7 linked regions of the Callithrix jacchus genome follow. The protein of the gene in region 2 purifies or fractionates together with the protein of the main gene of each other region. This does not show direct contact. Links are inferred from orthologs where the notes say so. Each region holds a gene or a part of one and is shown on either strand. Other genes may lie near its edges.

Evidence for each region.
Region 1: the proteins of HDAC1 (region 2) and RNF157 purify together in Homo sapiens (affinity purification with western blotting; 3 studies listed by BioGRID, with this or other methods). This does not show direct contact. The link is inferred for Callithrix jacchus from reciprocal best matches to the Homo sapiens genes HDAC1 and RNF157.
Region 3: the proteins of HDAC1 (region 2) and ZNF592 purify together in Homo sapiens (co-immunoprecipitation; 3 studies listed by BioGRID and IntAct, with this or other methods). This does not show direct contact. The link is inferred for Callithrix jacchus from reciprocal best matches to the Homo sapiens genes HDAC1 and ZNF592.
Region 4: the proteins of HDAC1 (region 2) and PFDN5 purify together in Homo sapiens (affinity purification with mass spectrometry; 5 studies listed by BioGRID and IntAct, with this or other methods). This does not show direct contact. The link is inferred for Callithrix jacchus from reciprocal best matches to the Homo sapiens genes HDAC1 and PFDN5.
Region 5: the proteins of HDAC1 (region 2) and KDM5B purify together in Homo sapiens (affinity purification with western blotting; 3 studies listed by BioGRID). This does not show direct contact. The link is inferred for Callithrix jacchus from reciprocal best matches to the Homo sapiens genes HDAC1 and KDM5B.
Region 6: the proteins of HDAC1 (region 2) and SP3 purify together in Homo sapiens (affinity purification with western blotting; 6 studies listed by BioGRID). This does not show direct contact. The link is inferred for Callithrix jacchus from reciprocal best matches to the Homo sapiens genes HDAC1 and SP3.
Region 7: the proteins of HDAC1 (region 2) and SMAD2 purify together in Homo sapiens (affinity purification with western blotting; 5 studies listed by BioGRID, with this or other methods). This does not show direct contact. The link is inferred for Callithrix jacchus from reciprocal best matches to the Homo sapiens genes HDAC1 and SMAD2.

The regions. Positions count from the first base shown.
Region 1 is NC_133506.1:132,058,446-132,061,945, forward strand, and holds part of RNF157 (E3 ubiquitin ligase RNF157), read right to left. Parts: intron 3,316-3,500; coding exon 3,207-3,315; intron 1,551-3,206; coding exon 1,361-1,550; intron 899-1,360; coding exon 720-898; intron 478-719; coding exon 412-477; intron 1-411. UniProt on the Homo sapiens protein: E3 ubiquitin ligase that ubiquitinates APBB1 for its degradation by the proteasome and thus prevents apoptosis and promotes survival of neurons.
Region 2 is NC_133508.1:68,943,347-68,946,397, reverse strand, and holds part of HDAC1 (histone deacetylase 1), read right to left. Parts: intron 2,076-3,051; coding exon 1,983-2,075; intron 600-1,982; coding exon 491-599; intron 407-490; coding exon 266-406; intron 1-265. UniProt on the Homo sapiens protein: Histone deacetylase that catalyzes the deacetylation of lysine residues on the N-terminal part of the core histones (H2A, H2B, H3 and H4).
Region 3 is NC_133507.1:23,624,020-23,627,519, reverse strand, and holds part of ZNF592 (zinc finger protein 592), read left to right. Parts: intron 1-424; 5' UTR 425-443; coding exon 444-2,663; intron 2,664-3,500.
Region 4 is NC_133510.1:66,256,658-66,260,784, reverse strand, and holds the start of PFDN5 (prefoldin subunit 5), read left to right. Parts: upstream 1-1,327; 5' UTR 1,328-1,352; coding exon 1,353-1,424; intron 1,425-1,621; coding exon 1,622-1,724; intron 1,725-2,026; coding exon 2,027-2,058; intron 2,059-3,283; coding exon 3,284-3,358; intron 3,359-3,477; coding exon 3,478-3,583; intron 3,584-4,127. UniProt on the Homo sapiens protein: Binds specifically to cytosolic chaperonin (c-CPN) and transfers target proteins to it. Binds to nascent polypeptide chain and promotes folding in an environment in which there are many competing pathways for nonnative proteins.
Region 5 is NC_133520.1:29,841,675-29,845,707, forward strand, and holds the start of KDM5B (lysine-specific demethylase 5B), read right to left. Parts: upstream 2,801-4,033; 5' UTR 2,703-2,800; coding exon 1,959-2,702; exon of another isoform or gene 1,874-1,958; intron 1-1,873. UniProt on the Homo sapiens protein: Histone demethylase that demethylates 'Lys-4' of histone H3, thereby playing a central role in histone code. Does not demethylate histone H3 'Lys-9' or H3 'Lys-27'. Demethylates trimethylated, dimethylated and monomethylated H3 'Lys-4'.
Region 6 is NC_133507.1:55,497,108-55,500,607, reverse strand, and holds part of SP3 (transcription factor Sp3), read right to left. Parts: intron 214-3,500; coding exon 1-213. UniProt on the Homo sapiens protein: Transcriptional factor that can act as an activator or repressor depending on isoform and/or post-translational modifications. Binds to GT and GC boxes promoter elements. Competes with SP1 for the GC-box promoters.
Region 7 is NC_133514.1:90,992,860-90,996,359, reverse strand, and holds part of SMAD2 (mothers against decapentaplegic homolog 2), read left to right. Parts: intron 1-1,872; coding exon 1,873-2,161; intron 2,162-3,500. UniProt on the Homo sapiens protein: Receptor-regulated SMAD (R-SMAD) that is an intracellular signal transducer and transcriptional modulator activated by TGF-beta (transforming growth factor) and activin type 1 receptor kinases.

The sequences.
Region 1 (3,500 bases), on a different chromosome or scaffold from region 2:
CTAGATAGGTCCAGTGGGCTGGGGGTAGGCAGAAACCTCACCACACGGTTCTGTATAGGTCTGTATCTGCCCCAGTGCCAGTGAGTACCTGGGACACAGTTCCCCATGTAGATACTAGTGGAATGAAGGACAATACATTCTCAAGGCCAGGGGCTGGCAAGAAAAGTTCTTTCTTGAACTCACTCCACACCAGTGACCCTGAGAACCAGTGGCCCCACTCACTGGACAGTCCACAGACCCCGGGGTGGCTGCTCTCATCTCTACCCACATTCTACTTGTGACTGATATAGGCATGTCCCCAGGAAGGCTTTGTCAGCACAGCCCCCTGGCCCTGGTCCTTATTGGCATCCCCAGCCATGGCCAGACTCCTCTGGCTGTGGGAAGGGGTCCACTTCATGCTGCTGGGGTTACCTCTGCATCCTGCTCTCCAGCTGGGAGGCCAGCGAAGTTGCTGTCTGGAGACTCCGCTGGCAGCCCCTGCAGAAGAGCACAGTTTTTACAGGTCTCCCATTAAGCTCCTGACAGCAAACCCAAACCTTGTTCAGTACAAAATTGGTGTCAAATAGGAGGGTCAGAGCTAAGGGAATGCCTTGTTTTCTGTGGCACTCCAGGCACTTTGGGGGGCTTTGCTGCCATGAGTGGCAGATCTTTGGTTATGCTACTTTGGACATGTCTGCAAAGTACAGAGAAGCCAGGGTGGTTCCCGTCCTTTCCTTTACCTCTCCTTCTTCTGAAGGGGCCCTGCTGGCAGCCCGGGGGGAAGGGAGAGCCTCTCCCTCCTCTTCAGTGCCAGGGGCGATGTAGGAGCCAGACATGGAGGAGACGGTGTCGGTGCTGATCTGGGACGATGCCATGGACATGACAGACTGGGCCAGACTGCTGCTGGTGCTGGCAGGGCCTTTGGAGACAGGGGATGGAGGAAGGAGCCTAGAGGTCAGGCAGGGCTTCTGCAAGCTTTCTGGGGAGCAGAGCCCTCTCTCTATACTCAGGCAGTAAGGAGTAAAGTGGCCTCCCCTAAAATTGGTTTTAGGTTTAAGGTTTTCCAAAATTCTGCTCCTTTATATTTTAGAGCTCAGAACTCAGCCTCGAGGACAAGACATGTGCTTTTCCCTGTCATAATGCTAAAGGAAACCTCATGACAGCAGGACTGGAGCTGAGAGAACTGACACCCCCTAGCTACAGGCAAGCCCACTAACCCATGGTAGGAAAGCAAGTTCTCTTCCCTCTCAAGCCAGGGCCTACCTGTCATGCTGCCCAGGTATTAGCTTGCCACTCCCATGTCCCTTCCCGGAGGAAACGCCAGGACACTGTGGCTGGGTAAGGGGCAAGGACATGCAGCCGCTCCCCGCTCCTCATGTACCTTCTGGGGAGGAAATAGTGGACGACAGAGGCGTCCCTGTGCAAGACGACTGGTCAATAGCTCCAGATGATGACAAGGTGAGATTCTCACTTTCTGGAGTCACACCACATTCCTGGGGGGTGTGGGGGACACAACAGACATGGAGCAAGCGCCAGTCACCTGTGCTGGAGGAAGGGGTCAGGGCGGAGGTCTGGGTAGAGATGAGGAGGAAAGGCGACACTGGGAGGGACTGACTGGCCTGCAGAGGCCGCAGCTTCTCTCTTCTGTCCTCACTTCTCAGCCCAAGCCTGGAATGACTGCCTCCCAGGGGAGGCACACACTTCAGTCAACATCTCCTGCCCAAGGCACAGCATCTGCTGGGGCCATACAAAGACTGCAGCTCGGGTGACACAGGTCACCCAGCAGCTGTGACATGGGGACACCCCAGGTTTCCCCAGGATTATGATCAGCTTTCCTTCTGAGGCAAAAGCATACAAAGCCAGCAGATGCCTCCCTGCCTGCAGGGTATCTTCACACAGAGCACAGTTAACTCCTGCTCAGCTGATTTCTGATACAAACACCACCTTGTTCCCAGCCTGCTGCTCCTCACATGCCCCACCTCCAATCCCAGCCCCCACCTGCCAGGCATCTGGGCGCACAGCCTGACCCATCTGAGGCAGATGCAAAGTTCTTCAGACTGTGTCTCCAAAATCCCTTCCCCTCCCTCCAGGCACTCCTCTGTTGTCTTAGTTCAGGCGATCCTTCTCGCCTCGGCTACTGGAGCCCTTCCCTGGCTGAGTCTGTCTCCTGTCTAGTCCAGAGTGCACGCTGCAGTCGGGTGGGCCTTTGGGAAGCGAAGTGCTCACCATGTCCCTGCTCAGAGCCTCGACTTCCTGCTCTGTGCCTTTGCATGCACCACCCTATCCACATGGATGTTTCTCTCACCTTTTTCTCCTTGTCTAAAAAACTTCAAGGTTCAGCTAAAATGCTACTCCTCCATAACACATGTTCTGATCTCTTCCACTGATCTTATCCATCTCTGACACAGAAATTTATTGACTCCGTTTTGGGCACAATTCTTTTCTATAAAATTTACTTAGTCATTTAACAAATACTTACTGAGCAACAACAACGTGCCAGGCACGTGCTATTCCCATGCATCTGTCCTGTCCCAGCTAGACCTGAGCACCCACGGCCAGGGACCACTTTACCTTTCTATGCTCTGCTCTATCTAGCTCAGTGCCCGACACAGAGGAGGTGTATACACTTTTGTTAAATGAGGTCTATGTGGGACACACAGGGTAGACAATTCCAGCCTTCTTCTTCCATTCCTCAACACAGGCCTCCCAGCAGCCCCCAATTAACCCCAGGGCTTTCCACTTGCTGTTCCCAGGCCTATAGCCCTCTCTCCTCCTATATCTGCATAGCTACTTCTTCCACATCCCTTGGTCTTGGCTCCTGGACCACTTTTTAAGAATGGTAATCCCCACTTCCAGCTGTGACACTCCCTTCCCTGTTGTGTGACATGCTGATCCACAGTACCGTCTGGCACATGTGTATTTTTTTACTTATTGTCTTTTGTGTCCACCACCCCATCCCAGCCAGCAAGAATATAAATGCTACGAGGGCAGGGACTTTTGTAGTTCCCCAGCTCCTATCCTCAGCATATAGCAGAGTGCCTGGCAAATAATACAGGAGGCATACACTGATGAATGCATGAATCTAATGAAAGCTTTGCCGCTGCCTCAGAGGGTGTTGAAAAGGTGTTTGATGAGTGAATGAGAGCAGAGGGACCTGATGAGGCATGCAGGTAGGAGGAAAGTCCCTGGAGTACAACACCCAAGAAAAGGAGAGGAATGTCAATTACCTCTCCGAGATGCTGAGCTGACAGTCTCTGAGAGAGCTGTGTCTCCGACTCACTGCAGGAACGCTCATCTTCCTCTTCAGGCAGCACAGAAGAATTTTGGGAAATGGATCTGTAGGAGTCCAGAAGAAAAGCAGCTGTATCCAACATCCGTTTAAGAACAGTACTTACTGTGAGGAGAAACTGAGGGGAAAACCCAAATCTCTTTTGTTTGCTTATTTTTTGAGACAGGGTCTCATTATGTTTCCCAGGCTGGACTCGGACTCCTGGGCTTCAGCAATCCTTTTGTTGACATTT
Region 2 (3,051 bases):
TTGGGAGGTCAAGGCAGGCGGATCACCTGAGGTTAGGAGTTCAAGACCAGCCAGGCCAACACGGTGAAACCCTGTCTCTAAAAAAAGACTCCGGGAAAAAGTGATGGTTATGGTCTATTGATCACAAGAGGACAGGCAGGGGACTCAATGACCAGTATCAGAAGAGGAAAAGGCATGTGACCAACAGGGAAGGTGTTAGGAACTTAAGGACACCTGAGCTCCAGCTCCTGCCCAGCCCAGCTGAACCTGGCCCTGGAGCTATTACCATTAGGGATCTCCGTATCCAGGGCCACAGCTGTCTCGTACGTCCAGCATCGGGCGACATTACGAATGGTGTAACCACCTCCTCCCAGCATCAGCATAGGCAGGTTAAAGCTCTTGACAAATTCCACACACTTGGCGTGCCCTTTGGTGGGAGAAGGGGTGCTGAGTTATTACAGGAGTACCAACCAGGACCCCGCCCACCCATCCTTGTGCTATCTGGTCTCACCTTTGATGGTCAGATTGAAGCAACCTAACCGATCCCCAGATAGGGAGTCTGAGCCACACTGTAAGACCACGGCACTAGGCTGGAACATCTCCATTACTTTGGACATGACCTAAAATGATAAATCCTGGTCACCACCAACCTCAAGAAAGCAATGTGAGGTTTGGGATGGAAAGGCTGGGTGCAACACTTTCTCCCCCACTCCTACCTTTCCGCTCTCCCTCATGCTATATGGGAGAGAAAAGCGAGTACCAGGCTGGAGCTCTTGCTTCCCTAATCCAAGACCCTTCTTACTCTACTAACACTGAACCTAGAATGGCCTCCATGTCAACTCCCTAAATCTCTTCTTCTATTGCCCAAGCTCTAGCGCCACTTCCTCCAGGAAGCCTTCCTGACCCTTAGCCGGATCTACTCTACTCATTTGGTCTTACAGACTTGGAGCCTTACATTATGAGCAAGCACTCTTGGTTTATCTTATTTTCACAACCAGAGTCTAACATTAATGAGACAGAGACCATAACTCCCACTTCTGTAGCCCTTACTAAATACTAGGCACACAGTAGGGAGTCAGTGTTTGCTGAATGACTACCTGACCTTATTAGGTTAAACAGTTTCTTATTGCTTATAAGTGAAGATTTAATTCCTCAGCATGGCATTCAAGGCTCCCTTTGAAACACTGAGCCCAGCATACACTTCCCATCACCTCCTTCAGCATGCCTCCCACATACCACAGTGGCCTACATGCTGCCACACTGGCATATCTGCACTTCTGCTGGTGCTGGTCCTTCTACTGAATGCCACCCTTACTGCTGTCACCTCCTTCTTCACATGGGTACCTTCTCGTTTTTCAAAGTCCAGCTTAAACATCACCACCTCTGTGCAGTCATCCCTGACTACCCTCCTGCCCGCCCAGGCAGGAGTCTATCTCTCACTCCTCTGACCATCCCTCAAAAACACAGGCACTAGGCCAGCCTGCCCATGGAACAGGCCAGAGAGCCTTTCCACAATCTCTGAATGGGCTGACTGGTGAAGGGCTTTCCCAGATAAAGCCAATCTGCAAAGACTGGAGTAAGTCCCTACTTCTTCAAATGTGCAGACATCAGTGTAAGGCAACGAGGAACATGAAAAACCAAGGAGACATAGCACTACCAAAAGAACACAATCATCTCCCAGTAGCCCAGAGAGACAGAGACACAAAACACTACTAACCACAGACTACTGGATATGTGCCTGCCTTTCCCACCATAGTCCATGAGGGCAAAGATCATGTCTTAGATATGTTTGTATCCAGCAGAAGACCTGACCCATAGAAGGAACCATCAAATATGGATGTTTGTTCCCCTAACTGACCACACAGCAATCCAGGGTTCAAACACTTCTATTTCCCCACCAGCTTTAGTAAGGAGAGATTCCTGAGGTATCATGGGGGTGTTCTGCTCCCCTGCCCTAGACCAATCCCCTTTTTGTAGCCCAAGGAGTGCATAAAGCCACTTACCGGCTTGAAAATGGCCTCATAGGACTCGTCATCAATCCCATCTCGGAGCGGGTAGTTAACAGCATAATACTTGCCTTTGCCAGCCCCGATATCCTAATTAAGAAGGACATGAAAGTAAAACTAAAGGATGAAGCTTAAAGGAAGGTCAGGGATGCAGGCTGGAGGGATAAAGGAAGAGGTTCTAAGAGAGATAAGCTAGGCCCATGATGTGGGCCAGGACAGAACAGGGGTACCTTGTGAGTACCATTCTCTTCACTCACCAATCTAGCTCACATCTCTAGACATAGCATTAAGCCTACACCTAGGCTGAGAGCTACTGATGGGCGTAGAGACTGAATACCCTACCCTGTGGCACAAGATTTCTACCTTGGGATTGGGTTAGGGCTGGCTGGCAGGTGGGCCACAGAAGTAACAACCACCCCTGACAACCCTTTCCACTCCAGAGAGCCCTAATGCTCACTCCTCTTCCCCCATGCTCCCTCTCTAGGGTGGTGTGGAGGGAAGGAGAGAGAAGAAAGTCCTTCCCAGGAACCTCGAAATAGTGAATGTGCCTGTAATTCTAGCACTTTGGGAGGCCAAGGTGGGTGGATAACTTGAGGTCAGGAGTTCAAGACCAGCCTGGCCAACATGGTAAAACTCCATCTCTACTAAAACTACAAAAATTAGCCAGGCATAGTGGCATGCACCTATAATCCCAGCTATTCTCAGGCTGAGGCATAAGAATTGCTTGTACCCAGGAGAAGGGAGGCAGAGGCTGCAGTGAGCCAAGATCACACCGCTGTACTCCAGCCTGAGCAACAGAGCAAGATTCTGTCTCAAAAAAAAAAAAAAAAAAGTGAATGTTCATTTATTCTAATGCTTGCCATAGCAAACAACTGAATTAGTGCCACTTTTTTACCCAAGGGTCACTGGGCATGGCAAACAGCTGATTTCACTGCATTCATGCTAATAGAAGCAGATGGAACAGTTCAAGGAAGTAGTTTCCACGGATTCTTATCCTAAGGTTCATGGATGGGCTTCAGCAAGGGGACTTGTTTATTAACTATTCCATATCAGATGTAAAATTGCA
Region 3 (3,500 bases), on a different chromosome or scaffold from region 2:
AGAGGAAGTTATAGCCAGGCTTCATGTATGAATCAGTAGTTTTCTGAAGGATGAAGTGCTGAGTGGCTTTTTTTGCTAGTACACGTGATCATGGAGGGATGATGTTCCCTGAGAAGCTGAGGGAGTATGGTAGGAGTGTACTCTTTGTGGCTACGTAACCAGCCATCAATTTCCAGGTACTGAGGTTTAAGAACTGCCAGGCAGGCTTGTTGCTATATCTCACTACTTTTTCCATCTCTGCCCCACCTCTCTAGCATTTTAGAAACCTGTTGGGGTAAAACTGAGGTGTGTGGCTTCCTGTCATAGTATGTGGGGTTCAGCATGCGTGTGCTGACTGTATGTGCCTTAGTTTGATGAGTGTATAGTGAAGATGGTCCAGTGGGACCGTGGTGGTCACTGATTCTGTTCTCTGTTTCTGTTATAGCCCTTTCCAGCATCCAGCCATGGGGGATATGAAAACCCCAGATTTTGATGACCTTCTGGCTGCCTTTGACATCCCAGACCCCACCAGCCTTGACGCCAAGGAGGCCATCCAGACACCCAGTGAGGAGAATGAGAGTCCCCTCAAGCCTCCAGGCATTTGTATGGATGAAAGTGTGTCCTTGTCTCACTCAGGATCAGCCCCTGATGTGCCGGCGGTGAGTGTCATTGTCAAGAACACCAGCCGCCAGGAGTCGTTTGAAGCGGAGAAAGACCACATTACTCCCAGCCTCCTACACAATGGATTCCGGGGTTCAGATCTGCCTCCAGATCCCCACAACTGTGGGAAATTTGATTCTACTTTTATGAATGGAGACAGTGCCAGGAGTTTCCCTGGCAAACTGGAGCCTCCCAAGTCAGAGCCATTACCCACCTTCAATCAGTTCAGTCCAATCTCCAGCCCAGAACCTGAAGATTCCATCAAAGATAACGGATTTGGGATAAAGCCCAAACACTCTGACAGTTATTTCTCATCCCCTCTTGGGTGCGGGGCTGTGGGGGGTCCAGTCCTGGAGGCTCTGGCTAAGTTTCCAGTCCCAGAGCTACATATGTTTGATCATTTTTGTAAGAAAGAACCCAAGCCAGAACCCCTGCCCTTGGAGAGCCAGCAGGAACACGAGCGAGGTGGGCAGAAGGCAGTGGAACCTCACAAAGATCTGGATGCCACTCGATTCTTTGGGGAAGCTTTGGAGTTTAACAGCAATCCTAGCAACAGTATTGGAGAGTCCAAGGGGCTTGCCCGGGAGCTTGGTACCTGCTCATCAGTCCCCCCTAGGCAGCGTCTAAAGCCAGCTCATTCCAAGCTGTCCTCTTGTGTGGCAGCTTTGGTGGCCTTGCAGGCCAAAAGAGTGGCTAGTATCACTAAGGAGGATCAGCCTGGCCACACAAAGGGTCCCTCAGGGCCCACTAGAGAGGGTTCTAAAGGTAGCCCCAAAATGCCTAAGTCACCAAAGAGTCCCCGGAGCCCTCTGGAGGCCACTAGAAAAAGTATCAAGCCATCCGACAGCCCTCGTAGCATCTGTAGTGATAGCAGCAGCAAAGGCTCACCGTCTGTGGCTGCCAGCTCCCCACCAGCAATTCCCAAAGTGAGAATCAAAACCATTAAGACATCATCAGGGGAAATCAAACGGACTGTCACAAGGATCCTGCCAGATCCTGATGATCCAAGTAAGTCCCCTGTTGGGTCACCTCTAGGGAGCGCCATTGCCGAGGCCCCAAGTGAGGTGCCAGGGGAGGAGGTGCCTGTGGAAGAGCACTTTCCTGAGGCAGGCACAAATTCAGGGAGCCCCCAGGGGGACAGGAAAGGGGACGAGAGCATGTCAAAGGCCAGTGACTCTTCATCTCCCTGCGGTAGTTCTGGGCCCCGGGTCCCAAAGGGGGCTGTCACGGGCACACAGACAGGCAAGAAGCAACAGAATACAGCACTGCAGGCCTCTACCCTGGCCCCTGCCAACCTCCTGCCCAAAGCCGTACACTTGGCCAACCTGAACCTCGTCCCCCACAGTGTTGCTGCATCAGTGACAGCCAAGTCCTCAGCGCAAAGACGGAGTCAGCCACAGCTTACGCAAATGTCGGTGCCCCTTGTCCACCAGGTGAAAAAGGCTGCCCCACTGATTGTAGAGGTCTTCAACAAGGTCCTCCACAGCTCCAATCCCGTGCCCCTCTATGCGCCAAATCTCAGCCCGCCTGCGGACAGCAGGATCCACGTGCCGGCCAGTGGGTACTGCTGCCTGGAGTGTGGAGATGCATTTGCCTTAGAGAAGAGCCTGAGCCAGCACTATGGCCGGCGGAGCGTCCACATTGAGGTACTGTGTACACTGTGCTCCAAGACGCTGCTCTTCTTCAACAAGTGCAGCCTACTGCGGCACGCCCGTGACCACAAGAGCAAGGGGCTCGTCATGCAGTGTTCCCAGCTGCTGGTGAAGCCCATCTCTGCGGACCAAATGTTTGTGTCGGCCCCTGTGAACTCCACGGCACCAGCAGCCCCAGCCCCTTCATCCTCTCCCAAACATGGCCTCACTTCGGGCAGTGCCAGCCCCCCTCCTCCAGCCTTGCCGCTCTACCCAGACCCCGTGAGGCTCATCCGGTACTCAATCAAGTGTCTTGAATGTCACAAGCAGATGCGGGACTATATGGTCCTGGCTGCACATTTCCAGAGGACAACAGAGGAGACAGAGGGGCTGGTAAGCAGACCCTCACTGATACGGGTATCGGGCCCCCGGCTTATACAGGTTCCATGACTGGGCATGGAGAGGAAAGTTTATTGATATGAGGGCAGTGGTGGAATCTTATGAGTGTTAGAAGAGGACGTCTGCCTGAATATTTAGTGCTTGGTGTTTGTTGGAAAATGTATCCTGCTCATACTAAGGTGAGACCCTAATTTAGAAAGTGTATCTATGAATGTGTCCCATGTGCCACTCAATGTCTCCTTGAAGGGTCTGTTAAGGCCCAGTATCAGGCCTGAGATAAGGGTGTACTGGATGATCTCCCTCTGGTCTCTGGCAGGTGTCAGCACAGTCTTAGCATGTGACCAAGGAACTTGGGGGCAGTGTTAGGTGAGTCACCGCCGCTGCACCTCAGTCTGCTCTAAGAACTGTCTTTTTCTTTCTTGAGATGGAATCTTGCTCTTTCTTGAGATGGAATCGCCCAGGCTGGAGTGCACTGGCAGGATCTTGGCTCACTATAACCTCCGCCTCCAGAGTTCAAGTGATTCTCCTGCCTCAGCCTCCTGAATAGCTAGGACTTCAGGCATGTGCCACCACTCCCAGCTAATTTTTGCATTTTTAGTAGAGACAGGGTTTCACCGTGTCGCCTAGGCTCGTCTTGATCTCCTGGCCTGAAGTGATCCACCCACCTCGACTTCCCAGAGTGCTGGGATTACAGGCATGAGCCACTGTGCCCAGCCAAAGAACTGTGTCTTTAAAAAGTGGTTGTTCTACCCTGCAGTGACACAGCTGTTTTTGCGGAGTCCTTTGTGGAAACTGCAGTGTGGGCAGTGGCAGGGCCAGGGTAGAAGGGAG
Region 4 (4,127 bases), on a different chromosome or scaffold from region 2:
AATCGCTTGAACCCAGGAGGCAGAGGTTACAGTGAGCTGAGATTGTGTCATTGCACTCCAGCCTGGGCGACAGAATGAGACTTGTCTTAAAAAAAAAAACAGATACTGCATAACTGCCCCCTTCCTGCTGTGGTACTGTAAACTGATGGGAACAGCTCACAGGAGATCAAGTTTGAGAGCCTGGGGAAGAAAGGCAAAGACAGGACAAAGCCTACCGGGCCTGGCTGGGCCTCAGCAGACAATCTGGAGGAGAAAGGGGCATCAAAATGCTAAGTAGAGATAAGCCCAAGGAAGGGTAATCATTGACCCGTTGAGAGTGTTATGGGGCAGGTACCACCCGTCCATCCTGTCTTCCTGCCTCAGGTACCCTGGGAGTAGCACTAGTTTTAATGCCTCAGTTGCCCTGCCTGACTCCTAAGTAGATGTTAAAGGCTACTGCTGTCTGCTCATGTACAGCTGTCACACTTACCAATGTGTATACTTTAGCAGTAGATTCTGTGGATCTGTGGAGTTATAATCGTGAAGTTTTTCTCTCCAATTGTTAACCTCAAGGGAAGCAAGTATCTTACACTCTCACGTATCCCTGCCATATAGCACATGGTAGAACCTTTTTTATTTTTTCGAAGACAGTCTGGCTCTGTTGGAGTGCACAATCACGGCCCACTGCAGCCTCAAACTCTCCAGCTTAAGCGATCCTCCCACCTCAGGCTTCCAAGTAGCTGAGGCTACAGGCGTACACCACCAGCCAGGCTAATTTTTGTATTTTTAGTAGAAACGGGGTGTCGCCGTGTTTCCCAGGCTGGTCTCAAGCTCCTTGGCTCAAGCGATCCGCTCTCTTCAGCCTCCCAAAGTGGTGGGATTGCAGGCGTGAGCCACAGTGCCCGGCCAAAACATTTTGATTAATTTGTGCTGTACTTGGTTGACAATGGTGCCTCCTTGCTGTTCGCTCCATCTCCAGACTCCCTTCCACTTCATCTGCTCAAAGCACCATTTTCAAGATGCTACTTCGGACCAAAGAACTGAAGACCTGTCAGTAGCTTATACCACCCATGTGGAGTAGCATACACTACTTTATAACATCGTGGTTGTGTCGTGAGGACTTTAAGATTTTGAAGTTCCTTGTGGGCTGGAGTCCTGTTTGCCGCAACTTTACCGTGCTAGGGTTAGAATGTTTTATGAAACCAAAGCACAGCTCAGCCTCTGACCGGTTCAAGCCCCCCCTTCCCTTCCGGGACGGAGAATCATAGAGCAGCCTGGCGCAGCTAGGCCTCCTGGCGCCATAGAGACGCGCAGAGGACTGCTAGAGCGTTGCTCGCCAAGGGACTTCCTTTTCGTTAGTCCTCCTTCCCAACATGGCGCAGTCGATTAACATCACGGAGCTGAATCTGCCGCAGCTAGAAATGCTCAAAAACCAGCTGGACCAGGTGGGACGAGCCCCAGAAGCGCCTCTTTCCTGCTCTACATCCCCCCTGCCCATGCGTACTTCCTCGCTCCCCGTTCCAAGTTGGGAGCCTGCCTTTCCCAGGCGAAACCTCTATCCGATCCCAGGATCCGCCCCCTCCCTGGCCGGGCTCCCTTCTCCCCGCAGCCCTTTCATTGACTCTATTCCCGTCCTCTGTAGGAAGTGGAGTTCTTGTCCACGTCCATTGCCCAGCTCAAAGTGGTACAGACCAAGTATGTGGAAGCCAAGGACTGTCTGAACGTGCTGAACAAGAGCAACGAGGGTATGGGGTAGGCGGGTGAGGGCAACCTAAAGTGGCGAGCCAGCTTCTCTCGTCCCACTTCCTAATCCAGTTTTTCTTAACTGAAACGAGAAAATCCATTACATCTCGTATGCCGCTTCATGAACCCTTTGCATGTTGCCTACCTAAAATTGAAATGTACAGGACATACCTCTGCTCCTGTTGCCCCTGTTTCCGTTCTTTTCACACTGTCTGTGGGTGCTGTCCCCTGTTGGAACTCTCTTTAATGTCTTACGTTGGAGCCGCTAACCTTCCCCAGGTGTTTGTCTTCATTGCTTTCACAGGGAAAGAATTACTCGTCCCACTGACGAGTTCTGTATCCTTTCCACAGGAACGGCTACCTGCTGCCTTCTCCCTTTCTCCCTCACTCTCCCCCAAAAAGCGGGGAGAAGGGTCGTTTTGATTACTTCAGATTCCCCTCCCCCGCAACGTTTTTGAGAATACTCTTACTACACACTATGTAGCTCTTATATCTAACTTCACACCAACATCCAGCTAATGCCTTGTGAATACCAAGGAGTATGTCGAGTTGAGATGTAATATTTCCCTTTGCTGTTTGAGAACATTAATATGGAGATAAAGCTGGTGGTTTACATTTTGCTAATAACTTAGAAGACACAGGCAATAGACAAAATAGGAGGATATAGAAACAGGTATGTTGACTGTTAATCTTCAATTTCAGCTTAATTGTGGCTCATTCCTAAACTGTCACTAAGGAACCTGGATTGTGTCCACTTGCTGAATGTCTTACTTGAATGAGCGAGTTATGGCAATACGGCACCTTTGTAGTCTGAGAACTGACAGGCTAAAAAGAACACAGGAATAGTATAGTAGGGAATCGTTAAAAAAAAAAAAAATGGCTGGGTGCTATGGCTCACAGCTGTAATCCAAGCACTTTGGGAGGCTGAGGCGGGCAGATCACCTGAGGTCAGGAGTTCAAGATGAGCCTGACCAACATGGGAAAACCCCATCTCTACTAAAAATACAAAATTAGCCAGGCATGGTGGCACATGCCTGTAATCTCACTTAGGAGGCTGAGGTCGGAGAATCTCTTGAACCTGGGAGGTGGAGGTTGCAGTGAGCTGAGAGTGTGCCATTACACCCCAGCCTGGGCAACAAGAGCAGGACTTCACCTCAAAAATAAAAATAAAATAAAAATTCATCAAGAATTAGCTACTTCATGATTGAGGGGGTTAAGGGAAGTGAGGCTAGCTTTCCACTTGTACTCTACAACAGTAGGAAAACATATCTAGTCTTTCTGGAGGGGCTAATGGGAAGAACTGCAAGAACTGTTTAGAGGGTGAGAGATGGGATGAGGCAGGACAAGAGAGTGTTCCAGCATACATCATTTTCTCCATAAAGAACCAACTTCTGTCTTCTTTCCATTTGGAGTTATAGATATTGTTCTAAGGCCTCCAGATTATTCAGTCCTTATGCCTTGTAGCTTTTTGGAAAACGAGGGTCTTTAGAGGCCAAGCAGGCTGGGTTGCAGAATCACAGCTCATGCTGGGCTAGTTTTTCCCTTAATACTTGCTCCTCAGATGTATGTCCCTGGGAAGCTGCATGATGTGGAGCACGTGCTCATCGATGTGGGAACTGGGTACTATGTAGAGAAGGTGAGTGAGAGCATGTGGATGCCCCTCTGAACAGGGAAGGGAAATTTAGGGAAGAGCTAGAGTGCAACATGGCCAGAGGGTATCTCCTTTTAGCCCCTCGTTCACCTCTGATCTTGCAGACAGCTGAGGATGCCAAGGACTTTTTCAAGAGGAAGATAGATTTTCTAACCAAGCAGATGGAGAAAATCCAACCAGCTCTCCAGGAGAAGCACGCCATGAAACAGGGTAAGCTTTTCCTGGGGCACCTCTTGACCGTCTCTATCTCCATGGTAAAGAATGTGGATTGGAGTGTGAAGCACAGGGGTGTCCCCTTTGCTGGATTAAAACTATGTCTTAGTTGCTCTTTGGCATCTTTAGAATCTGCGTACTGCATAATCACTATTTGTAGATTTCTGGGTTGAGCGTTTGAGAAATTGAGAGGAAAGAAATATGTGTGCTTTGGTGGAGCTCCTATTTAATGAGGATAGAATGGGGGATGAGATAAACACACAGGAAGGAATCATGACCCAAACGAACTAATTACCAGCAATTACAACCCCGGCTGCACATTAGATTCACTCAGGAAGTTTAGAAAGAAAACGTGGGTTAATTCCAGATCAACTAAACCTGGAAGTCAAGGGAGGCGAAGTTATACCAAGGTCAGTTTTTTTTTTTTTTTTTAAAAGCTCCCCTCGGCCAGGCACATGGCACACACCTGTAATTTCAGTACTTTGGGAGGCCGAGGCAGTTGGATCATGAGGTCAGCAGATTGAGACTATCCTGGCCAACA
Region 5 (4,033 bases), on a different chromosome or scaffold from region 2:
GACATCTTAAGTACAGTATTGAGGAAGAAATCAAAATTTGCATTTTAAAGGTGACAAAACCAGAAGCCAGATTACTCACAAATTTAGGAAGGTCTCAGTCCAGAAAACAAGCCTAGTTATCCTACATAGTTGATATAATTTGAAACAAAGGTTTGTATTAAACTTCAAACTCAATCGAGTTGAAGTATAGTCTTCTTGACTTAATTACGTTTTCTCACATTTAGCTTACTATATTTTCAAATTTCTGAGAATCCCTAAGCTGTCACGTACCAAATAATGTAAGCACCTTGTCAGAAGCCAAGCAGTTTGGGAGCCTCACTGAGAAAGCAGCTATAAACTGAAGCTATAGTAAGTACCTTCATAAAGCTACAAAGGTTAAGAACAAAAGGAGACAGAAATGTTTTATACTTCCCCTTACCTTCTAACGAGTAAAATACCAATAGTCCCAATTCCCCTTTTAATATAACCATTTGTGTTCCAAAAACTCAGTTAACAAAAATCCTCCAGAAATGCAGACATTATACAGCTATCACCATGGAAAATATTTCATATCTTTTTTGTTGCTATATATCAACTATATGAAACCACTTGTTCACAGTTAGCTTTCCTAAAAACAAAACAGTTTCTAAAACAAAGACTGTTTACATCTCTTAAGAAGCCTTTGTTCCAACAAGACCCCTCTTCAAGAGCACAACTTCTAGAAAGATTTCCCTTTTTGTGGTTTTATCAACAACAAATACTCCCAAACTCTTTCCATTTGGCATAGGAGTTTGTTAAACAAAGGAGGAAGCAAGCCCCCTCCACACAAAGGAGGTCTCCAAAACAGAGCACTGGTTGTATTTGTAGATTACTGGTGCCTCTTTAACCCCTTTCCTCAGGCTGTACTATGTAGTACTCTCAATACAAAATGGTGGCCATCATGTCTGTCTGGCATTCAGAGTGGGGAAAAGGCAATTCAATTACACATTTTGCAAAGATTACCATTAATATTCTAGCCAAGATGAGGAAATGGGTAGCCAAACCTAACCAGAGCAATACTATCTTTTCAGGAAAAGGGCCCTCTAAAAGGCAAAGAACAAGAAAGCAAGATAAAGGATTTACCCCAGCCCTGGTACACCACAATACCAACATGGAGGACACCTCCCAGGAACCTGACTCCCCTCATTTTGGTTACTAAGAACTTAGTCAAGTTACCCAAATTCTGAATAAAATCCAATTAATGCAAATGTGGAATATTCATATTCATCCTTCCTAGCATGTGACATAAAGCAACATTGCTACTGTGTGAAACATGACCTATTACTCAAGAATTAAAACCTCAGCTCCAACCAGCCCTGTTATAACTTCTGCAGCCCTCTTTGCACTACAAAAACGTACTTCCCGCAAGCAGCAAGAATCAACCTTGCCCACTTCGCTGTAAGAAACTGATCTATTTTCAAATATTTCCCTTATATTCCCTGGCCAGTTATTTTCTGAAGCATATATTTCACCTCCATTTTCAAACTTGCTTAAGAAAAACTAAAGTAGGCGTCCATGTTTTAATTTGGGGTGGGGAAGGGTTGGGATAAGAAGCCTTATTTTCAGGGATCTCCCTTGAAAACAGCTTTCCAAAACATAACGATTCCAAACAGAATCCCCACAACTCAAAATGTCATTACAAAGAGCATGCTTAAGGGAGAAGGGTTGGGAGGGGGTCTTCCTCCACTTAGGAGAGGGGGGCGAGGGGAGGAGAGTGGGGAGAAGATTCTTAAACAGTAGGAAAGGCAGTTAAACCCCCTTCCCAACGGCCCCAGCCCGTCCAACCGCCGCTTAGGCTAACTCGGACTCAGACCGTCCCGAAAGGTGGGCAAAAACCAGAGGTGTAGGAGCGCACCCAGTTCCGGCCACGGGGGAAGGAGTTGGCCGGGCTCTCCTCAGCGAACGTTGGAGCCGTTAGGGATGGTTTCAGCAACACCCACCCCTCGCTCACTGCCCCCAGGTCCGAGTCGCTGCAGACAGGGCTGGAAGGGCTGCGGTGGGTGACTGCCTTTCAGCGCCAGGAGGCTGAGGGCCGGGGGAAACGAGCACGAAATCTTCGGAGGTCTCTTCGTCTGACATTCCCCTACAAACACGGCCTCGCCCCGACCCCGTCCCCACCAGCACAGCCCAGGCCTCCCTGGGGAGCCCAGCGGCTGGGCCAGAAGAAGCTGGGTGTGTGCGCGTTCCGGAGCGCGGGCGGACAACGGGGCCCACCGCCGCCCGTCCCGCCCCCGCCGCCCCAAAAGTGTCCCCCAGACACTAACGCTCCCCACAACACATCCGCTCCGGGGCCGGACCCGCGGCTCCTCCCCGCCCCCAGCCAGCGATGGCCGCCCCCTTCTCGACCCCGGCCCGGGTGACACCTGGAGGCCCAGGGACCAGGCGGTGGAGGGGTGCCCTGGTCTGGAGGGTGGGGCGCCCAGGTGAGGGCCGCTCCGGGCCGACGCCGCCACCACACAAAGGACCAGGGGCTCCCGCCGCCATATTGAAAACTTTCCTCCTCGCACGACAACTCGCAAGTCCCCCACCCCCACCCCCACCCCATCACACACCCCCGCACCCCGGGAGCGGAGGCGAGGACCAGCCTGCTGAGCCTCGCCGGGCCCACAGTCCTCCCCTCCAGCCCGCGCCTCCGCTGGGCTCCGTGAGGGAACTCCCCCGCGACCACCCCCGCCTCCTGCCATCACTCCATCCGGAACCGAACCCGAATCCCCGGCCCCGGCCGCGCTCCCGGCCGCCTGAGCCCCGCGGCGACCCGGCCCTCCAGTGGCACCGCCAAAGCCCCCGGTTATCCCACGCTCCTTATCTCCGACCCTGGAAAAGCCGCCGTCTTCCTCCCCCAGCCTCAAAATGCAACCTTCTAGGCAGCCCCAAACTTGACCAGGCCGGAGGGGCGACAGGCTCCCCCACCCCCCGCGCCTTGGGCCTCCCAGGCCCCGCGCGTCCCCGCTCCCTCCCCCAGCCGCAAGCTGGATCCGGGGTGCTGGCGTGACTCACCGGCGGCGGCCGCACCTTACAGATCCCAGTCTGCTCGGCTATGGGCCGGATCTTGTGGATGAAAGCGAAGGGGTCCGCGAACTCTTCCCAGCTGGGCTCGAAGACCGGGCACTCGGGGGGAGGCAAGAACTCGCCCAGCGGGCCCGGGCCCCCGAGGGGCAGCGCCGGGCGCGGGCCCGGGGGCAGCGCGGTGGCCGGCTCCATCACCCCAAGCCGGGCAGGACCGAGAGCAGGGTGGGCTCTGGGACCGAGGCTGCGGGCTCCGCTCGGTCCGAGACCCGTGCAGACGCAGGTCGGGCCACAGCAAGTCCGAGTAGTACGGGCAACGGCAGCACCTTGGGCTTTTTCAGCCTCCGACGACGACGTCTCGCCGCAAGCCCACGCCGTGCGCCTCCGCCGCCACGGCGAGGAAAAAGAGTCCCACCCCTCCCCCACCCGCCCACCCTCCGTGCAGGGCTCCCCGCCCCGCCCCCGAATCGGGCGGGGCCGCGCCTTTCGCCTTGGATGGAGTTTAACTGAAACCTTAGGGTTTCAGTTGAGCCAACTTTTATTGACCACTTACTACGTATCAGAGTTCCGGCCCTGAAGAAGTTAAGTCTGGTAGAAAGGCTCAGTCCCATAAGCCAATCATTCAATAATGTCAGTACACAGTTGTGGGTGCAGGAAAACCCAGGAGGGGGTTTTGGAAAGAGTATTAGAAATGAAGAATTTTCCAGTAGAGATAACAGCTTGAACATACAAAGAGTATGTTCGTGAGAAGGCAGTAACAGTAATGATAATAATAATGTAACACTTTTGAGCACTTTCATATCCTAGGCACGGTTTTGTCGCATCATTAATCACACAACCCTATGAGGTAGGTACTCTTATTTCCACTTTACAAATAAGGAAAGTGAGGCATAGGTAGATTAAGCAATTTGCCAAAGTGCATATGGCTAATAAGTGATGGAGACTATTTATTCGGAGGTGGAGACGTTGCAGGGAAAACAGTCATCCACAGTCTATGACAAGGTCAGAC
Region 6 (3,500 bases), on a different chromosome or scaffold from region 2:
TGTACCATTTGATGAATCTGATCCTGGTGCAACTGAAAATATTTGTTGATTCTGCAAATTCTGAAGGGGAAGAACATACTGCCCACTTGAAGTAGTAGCACTTGGAATCTGCACTAGATTACCAGCTTCATCTTTTATAGTTGTAGGTGTGGCTGACAAAACCTCCCATCGGTTTGGTGCTCCTCCTAACTGTGCAGAAGCCAAATCACCTGTCTGGATGAAGAAAACAAAAATGTGATATATTTGTGGTATATTTAAACGAACTCTCAAAACATTCTAAAAACTGGTATAAATCCTACTACCTGAAAATTCAACTTATCTTCAAATACAGTAAGTACAGTACTATGTGAACTACAATAATTATCACTTCCAGAACAATTCCAGAATTGTTCTGCAAAAACAATTCATCCTATTTGAGTGGAATAAAAAAAAATTCTCAGCATGTTCATCACAACCACCAACCAATCTTCTAATTCTGTGTCTATGACCTCTAACACTGTACAGTTTTAAAAAAAACAGCGAAGTTGGCTATGACTGAATCAGGTGTGTTATATTTGCATATAAAAAGGAAACAGCATAGTGTATTGTCATCGAGTTAGAAAAGATTTATTCATTATTGCTATAAACTTCAAATCAAACAATTAAATCTACTCCTTTGTGGCATGTATTAACATACTCTAAAGTAAACTCATGGCTAGGACTATTCTATCAGCAAGCTATCAAACTCTTTACTTTTTCTGTGAACTATTAAAAAATAAAGACCTTAAAAAAATTTAATGAGAAAAGGTCACTGCCCTGGGACCACATGACCCACGCAGCCCCATTTGAAAGGTTTCTCTAGAATCAGAAGCTGGAGCATACAGACTGTGGCTCTACCTACTATTCTAAATTTGCAGTAGAATACCTGGCATATATTTTTTGTATTCTGGTATAAGCCTGGCATTATCCTGCAAACTTAGAATAGCAGGTAAAGCAACAGTCTGTATGCTTCTGGACCTGCTAGAAGCTCAGTTATCATCCCCACAGTTTATGGATTAGACAAGACTGGAAAAAAATCCAATGTAGAAAAGCAGAAAGCAATAAAACCCTACAAGTCAATGCCAAGAGTAGTTTTTTTTTTTAGGAAAATAATGGCAATAATATTTAATATTTAAGCTTTTATATGCCAAGAACTATGAGAGAGATTTAGAGGATTATGTAATTTACTCCTTAAAACGATCCTATGAAATCGTTTTTATGATAGATTTTATAATAATAGATATTATCCCTATTTCACAACTGAGAAAACTGAGGGACAAAATCACATAGCTATCAAACAAACAAGACAGGATTTAAAACTAGGCTAAACTTGACTCCAAAACCCAGGCCCTTAAACACCATATCATGTCTGTGTCATACCTTCCCCCAAGACCAATAGCAAAGACATAGGAAATAAGACCTATATAATTTACTATCCAAATAAAGCCATCCTTCTCCTACTTCTTTCTAGATCTATCCGTGAGTTCAGTAACTCCCCAAATCATAAGACAATGGAAACATAAGTTTATCTAGCCCAGCACTGTCAACCTAAGATCCATAATTGGGCTTCAATTCAAGGAAGCCCTTTAAAACAGCATGCCAACATTTTGATAAAATATTAACACAATTTGAAAGGGAGAAAGAAAATCTAGGGTTTCATCGAATTCTCAATGGGAGTCCAAAACTATAAATATCAGTAAAGACATATACAGTTCTCCCAACATAAACCATTCCATAAAACTTAATGCAAATATGATAAACAAAAAAATCTTCAGTTAAAGAAACTCACTACCTAACTCTCATGAAGACATAGTAGAGAAGTATATACAATATTTCAGTGAATGAACCACAGTTAAACGACTCAATTAAAACATTTGAATATAATTTACCAAGATGAAATACACATGTGAGTAAACCATGACATACAAGTCCTATCTTCAAATGGTTCACTGTAAATCCAAGCAAATATATCCATGATAATACAATGTGAAAAGTAGCATATACTAGTCATATGATCAAACACTGCGGAAGATACAAGACTGAAAAAAAAAAGATTTCATTAGCGATATTTTAAACTAGTATTAGAACAAATGGTAAGATTTTACTATAGTCAATTAAAAAAAAAGAGGCATTAAGAAAGGCATAGAAACAAAATCACAGACAGAAAGAAACCCTAAATAATAATACACAGTTTGGAGTTGAAGACAAGGTCACAAAAAGGCTCATATTCAGAGAGAAAAGGGGAACAGGACTAGACATTTTTATCAAGGCTTGTAAATGGCTTCACAGATCCCACTAAATTGTTTGGACTTTATCCTGTAGATAGTGAATGAAGGTTATAAAAGGTTTATAAGCAAGTGAGTGGTGCAATCACATCTGTGTTTTATAAAGATAAACTAAGTCTCAGTAAAGGAGACTGAAATGCAGAAGAGACTAAAGGCTGAGAAACTGTGAGACCCAATACAAATCTCTAGGCCTGAACTAAAACAGTAATCTGTCTTACATACACTTAAATTACACTAACTAAACTATTTTAAAATGAAGCATCAGACATTAAAGTCACATGTCATTCTGCAACTTCAATCTGGTATAGAAATTACAAGGTTAAGTTACCTTTCCTAACATTACAGTGACAAATCATGCTTTATTTCAGTCTCTTAACACTTTAAGTAAACTACAAATATTTAAATCTATATATTAAAATCTACACTAAAGTGTCTAAAATCCAATCTTTATCTTAAGGTTATTGCTCACCTGGAGAATCCACTGAAATTTTTTTCTGACTAGCATTAAATTTACAAGTATTGAACTTTTATCAAAGAATACAGCAATTCAGACACAAATTAATTTTATAATACTGGCATTTTGTCCTGTTTCCTTTCTTTAAAAAAAAAAAAAGTCAAATTTACAGCATCTAAAATTTTTGGATTTTTTTACAAAATAGTAATAAAGGCAGATATTCAACCAACACTGAACAGCTTTCAAGAAATTCCTTGAAAATAAAATACAACTACTCAAATGACAAATCTGAGTAAATACTGCCCAAGTCACCCAATCTCCAGAAACCAGATAAAAATAAACTGTAGTTCCATTTATCCCAGCAAGTTAGGCCATTAATTGAAGGAAAATCTCCAAACCTAGAGCAAAGTGATGTGTTCAGAACTTTTCTGAATAAGCACGAAATGAAAAGCATATAAAATACCTGTGAAGCACAAAGATGAAAACAAAAAGCAACAGATAATTTAAGTAAAAGAATCAAGCAAGAAAAGGGACTTTTTTAAGGTAATGAATTTGCAGTTTAAAAAAAATGTGCTAAACACCCTATTTTCTAAATGGAGGAAAAAAATCAGAAAACTACTAGATAATTTATGCTAAAAATATGCCTCACAGAGAAGAACATATTATACTAGAAAGAAAAGAACTCAGAACTGAGTTCTAGTTCTGACTACAATGTGGAATTGTGTGAGATCAACTCAATTTCC
Region 7 (3,500 bases), on a different chromosome or scaffold from region 2:
GCCAGTTCTTTGATGGGGAATAACTTTTCATCTTGTGTTAGGATTTTTTTTTTTTTTTTTTTTGAGGTGGAGTCTCACTCTGTTGCCAGGGTAGAGTATAGTGGCACAGTCTCGGCTCACTGCAATCTCTACCTTCCAGGTTTAAGTGATTCCTCTGCCTCAGGCTTTGAGTAGCTGGGACTACAGTTGCACGACACCACTCCTGGCTAATTTTTTGTATTTTAGTAGAGATGGGGTTTCACCATGTTCGCCAGGATGGTCTCCATCTCCTGACCTTGTGATCCACCCGTGTTGGCCTCCCAAAGTGCTGGGATTACAGGCATGAGCCACCACACCCAGCTGGATCTTATTTAATGTTAAGAGTATATGCAAAGTGTGCTTAGAAACTGTTGTCTGATCATTATTATTAAGGAACAAACTCATGAAAATGTAAGCATGATTGTATTCATAAAGATACACTTTGAAAACTGCAGTTGCAGTATTTGGGGTGTGTGATGTAAAGACCTCTTTACTTTCTAAAAAGGATGCTTTTGGGAACTTTATTAAATATGCAGATTGAACACATATTTTCCTTTTTTCTATATCTCACTAAAATTGGCAAAGAAAGAAAAGCATAAGAGGTAAGGAATGAGAGCGGAAACACTAGAGGAAGGAGAGGTTACTCAGATCTTGGAATGTGAATCACAAATAGAAATGTCTTAACTGATACAGCAATACTAGAAGGCTGAAATCTTAAGTTCCACGAGAGACTACAGGGAAAATAGGGAAGAAAATAATCAAAGAAATAATAAAAACAAGACTCATAGAATTTTAGTATCAATTAAGTGCTCAGAACAGTTGATGAGAAAAAGAATAAACACTGCATACCCTCTTAGAACATTATGAAATTTCAGAACCACAGATAAGATATTAAGAGATTCTGGAGCAAATCACTTTTTAATCAAAGGATCAGGAATAAAAGTTATGTTAGACTTATCAGTAGTGGATTCTAGGAAGTTGAGGGGACAGTGCTTTCTAAATTCTGTGTGAACTTATAAGGAATGACTTACAGCAAATTAAGCAAAAAAAAAAAAAATGTCAAGGTATACAAAATCAAGGTATGCTATGCTACTTTTATGTAGGAATAAGGTGGTGGGAATGTGGATAGATATGTGACCATGTTTATATTTGTAAAATGACACTGAATAGACAAAACAGCTTAATAAAAATGACTCCTGTGGAGAAGACAGGTTATTCCTTAAATTGGGAAGAGAAACCCTCTAACTTTACTCACTAAGCAAATTTAGATGAAAATGAAAAAAGTATAAAAAGTTTCTTTCAAGGGCAGGTGAAAGTGGACTACAGCTTTTCTCTGCAGTTTGCCGTGTTTATTTCTTTGTTCTTGATTTTTTCACAGTTTATGCATTTTCCCTTCTTGTAACTATAGATTTTGCCTCCTGGTAGTTACGAAAGTTTAAAACCTGGGGGAGAGTGGGCTTATAAATTTTCAATGTATTTTTGTATAGTCTTTTGAGAGTAGATTAAAGTTCTAAAAAGTGAGAAAACCTTTTTTTGTGAAAATATTTTAATTGACAATTTTAAGAGTTTAGTATTGGTAGAGAAACATTGTTAGAAGTATCTGATTTTACTTGCAAAATTACTGTGTTTGCCCACAAGACAAGTCCTTATAACATTGGCTTGTTTTTTAGACTAGTTTGTTTACATAATTCATTTAAATTCATAAAGATAACTTTTTCATGGGTTGGGAAATCTGTTGGGAAAGTCATAATTTGAATTTCTGTCTGGTTTTACAGTTTGCTTTCTATGATACGTTGAAATTATTTCTTGGTATTCAAGTTAGTCTCTACATGATCCTTTCAATATCTTTGCTAGGTTCGATACAAGAGGCTGTTTTCCTAGCGTGGCTTGCTGCCTTTGGTAAGAACATGTCGTCCATCTTGCCATTCACGCCGCCAGTTGTGAAGAGACTGCTGGGATGGAAGAAGTCAGCTGGTGGGTCTGGAGGAGCAGGCGGAGGAGAGCAGAATGGGCAGGAAGAAAAGTGGTGTGAGAAAGCAGTGAAAAGTCTGGTGAAGAAGCTGAAGAAAACAGGACGATTAGATGAGCTTGAGAAAGCCATCACCACTCAAAACTGTAATACTAAATGTGTTACCATACCAAGGTAAGTTTTGTTAGATCCCAAGTGTGATGATCAAATTGTGTAAAGGAATCTGAGGGAAAGTTACTGAATTTGTGTTCAAGTCGCCTGTAAAAAGTGATGATTAAAATATGACTGTTTTTAACCTTGTTGTATAAATTGTTTTTATTAGCTGATTTGTTTTAGAAATCATTATCTTGAACAGTGAGAAGGTTGAATCAAGCTTAACAAGTTACTTAGATTTATTATCTTCGTTGCCTAAATTTGTATGTTATCTTCATTTCTGTGATTGAATGATACTTGAATAAAGAATGGAAGCTTTTTCTACCACTAACATAGTAGCAACCTATGGTTTCTCCTCCCTTGGTCAAAACTTTTATCAGTTGGGTGAAAAGAGGCTGCTCACTTTTTAATGAGTTTTATATGGTTTTTCTTTGAGTGGCAGCATTACTTCCAAAAGAACAGTGAGTTCGGTGGCTTCTTAAATGTTGTAAACATTAGTCAGACCTGTCTTAAAGACCTACGTCTTAGGTTGGGAGGACCTGTTACTTTAAAAGGCTGAAGTTTTCTGAGGATAAATTAAATCATTTACAGATAAGTACCACTGTCATAGTATTTTTATTTTTTTAATAAAGTGGCAGGTGTTTTTAAATATGTTTTACTACTACTTGTATACATTACAGGTTTTGGGGGGACTGTAAGAAATGTAGAATTCTCTAAAATGATTGTTTGCAGTGATATAATGTGGACTAGCATATAGCGTGTGAAACCATTCTACTTGGCTTTGAGCTTTGAGAAGGACACTTTTGATGCTTGTTGGATAATAGATTCCAATAACACGAGCACAGCCTGTCTAGCTGCAAATACTAACAGTAGAATATTTCTTGCCTTGTTTGGTGGACCATCCATTACTTTCCCTTACTTGTTTTGTGTATATCTTAAAGATTTCTTTTTTAATTTGTTCATTTGTTTTACAAATGCCTATTGAGTGTTTGCTGTGTAGAAGGCACTGTTTCTAGACATATGGAGTTACAGTGATGAACAAAACACAAAACTCCTGCCTTCCTAAGGGACAGAAATACACAGTAAACAAGTAAACAAATTAATTGTAATTTGATATGATGAGTGCAAAGAAGGCAACCAAATGCAGTGATATGATAGAATAATATGAAGAATTAAAAAGCTGCTTTGGCTTGGATTGTATTGCTTGAGCAGAGCTTCGAGAAGCAGCAGCTAACTGAGGGAAGAGAAAGTGTGAAGACACTGAGGTGGGCTTCTTGTATTAGAAGAATTAAAAGGAGCCCAGAATAGATGGGCTTGTTCAAAGCTTCTATAGGACATCCTAGGGCATGGTGAGAGTTCA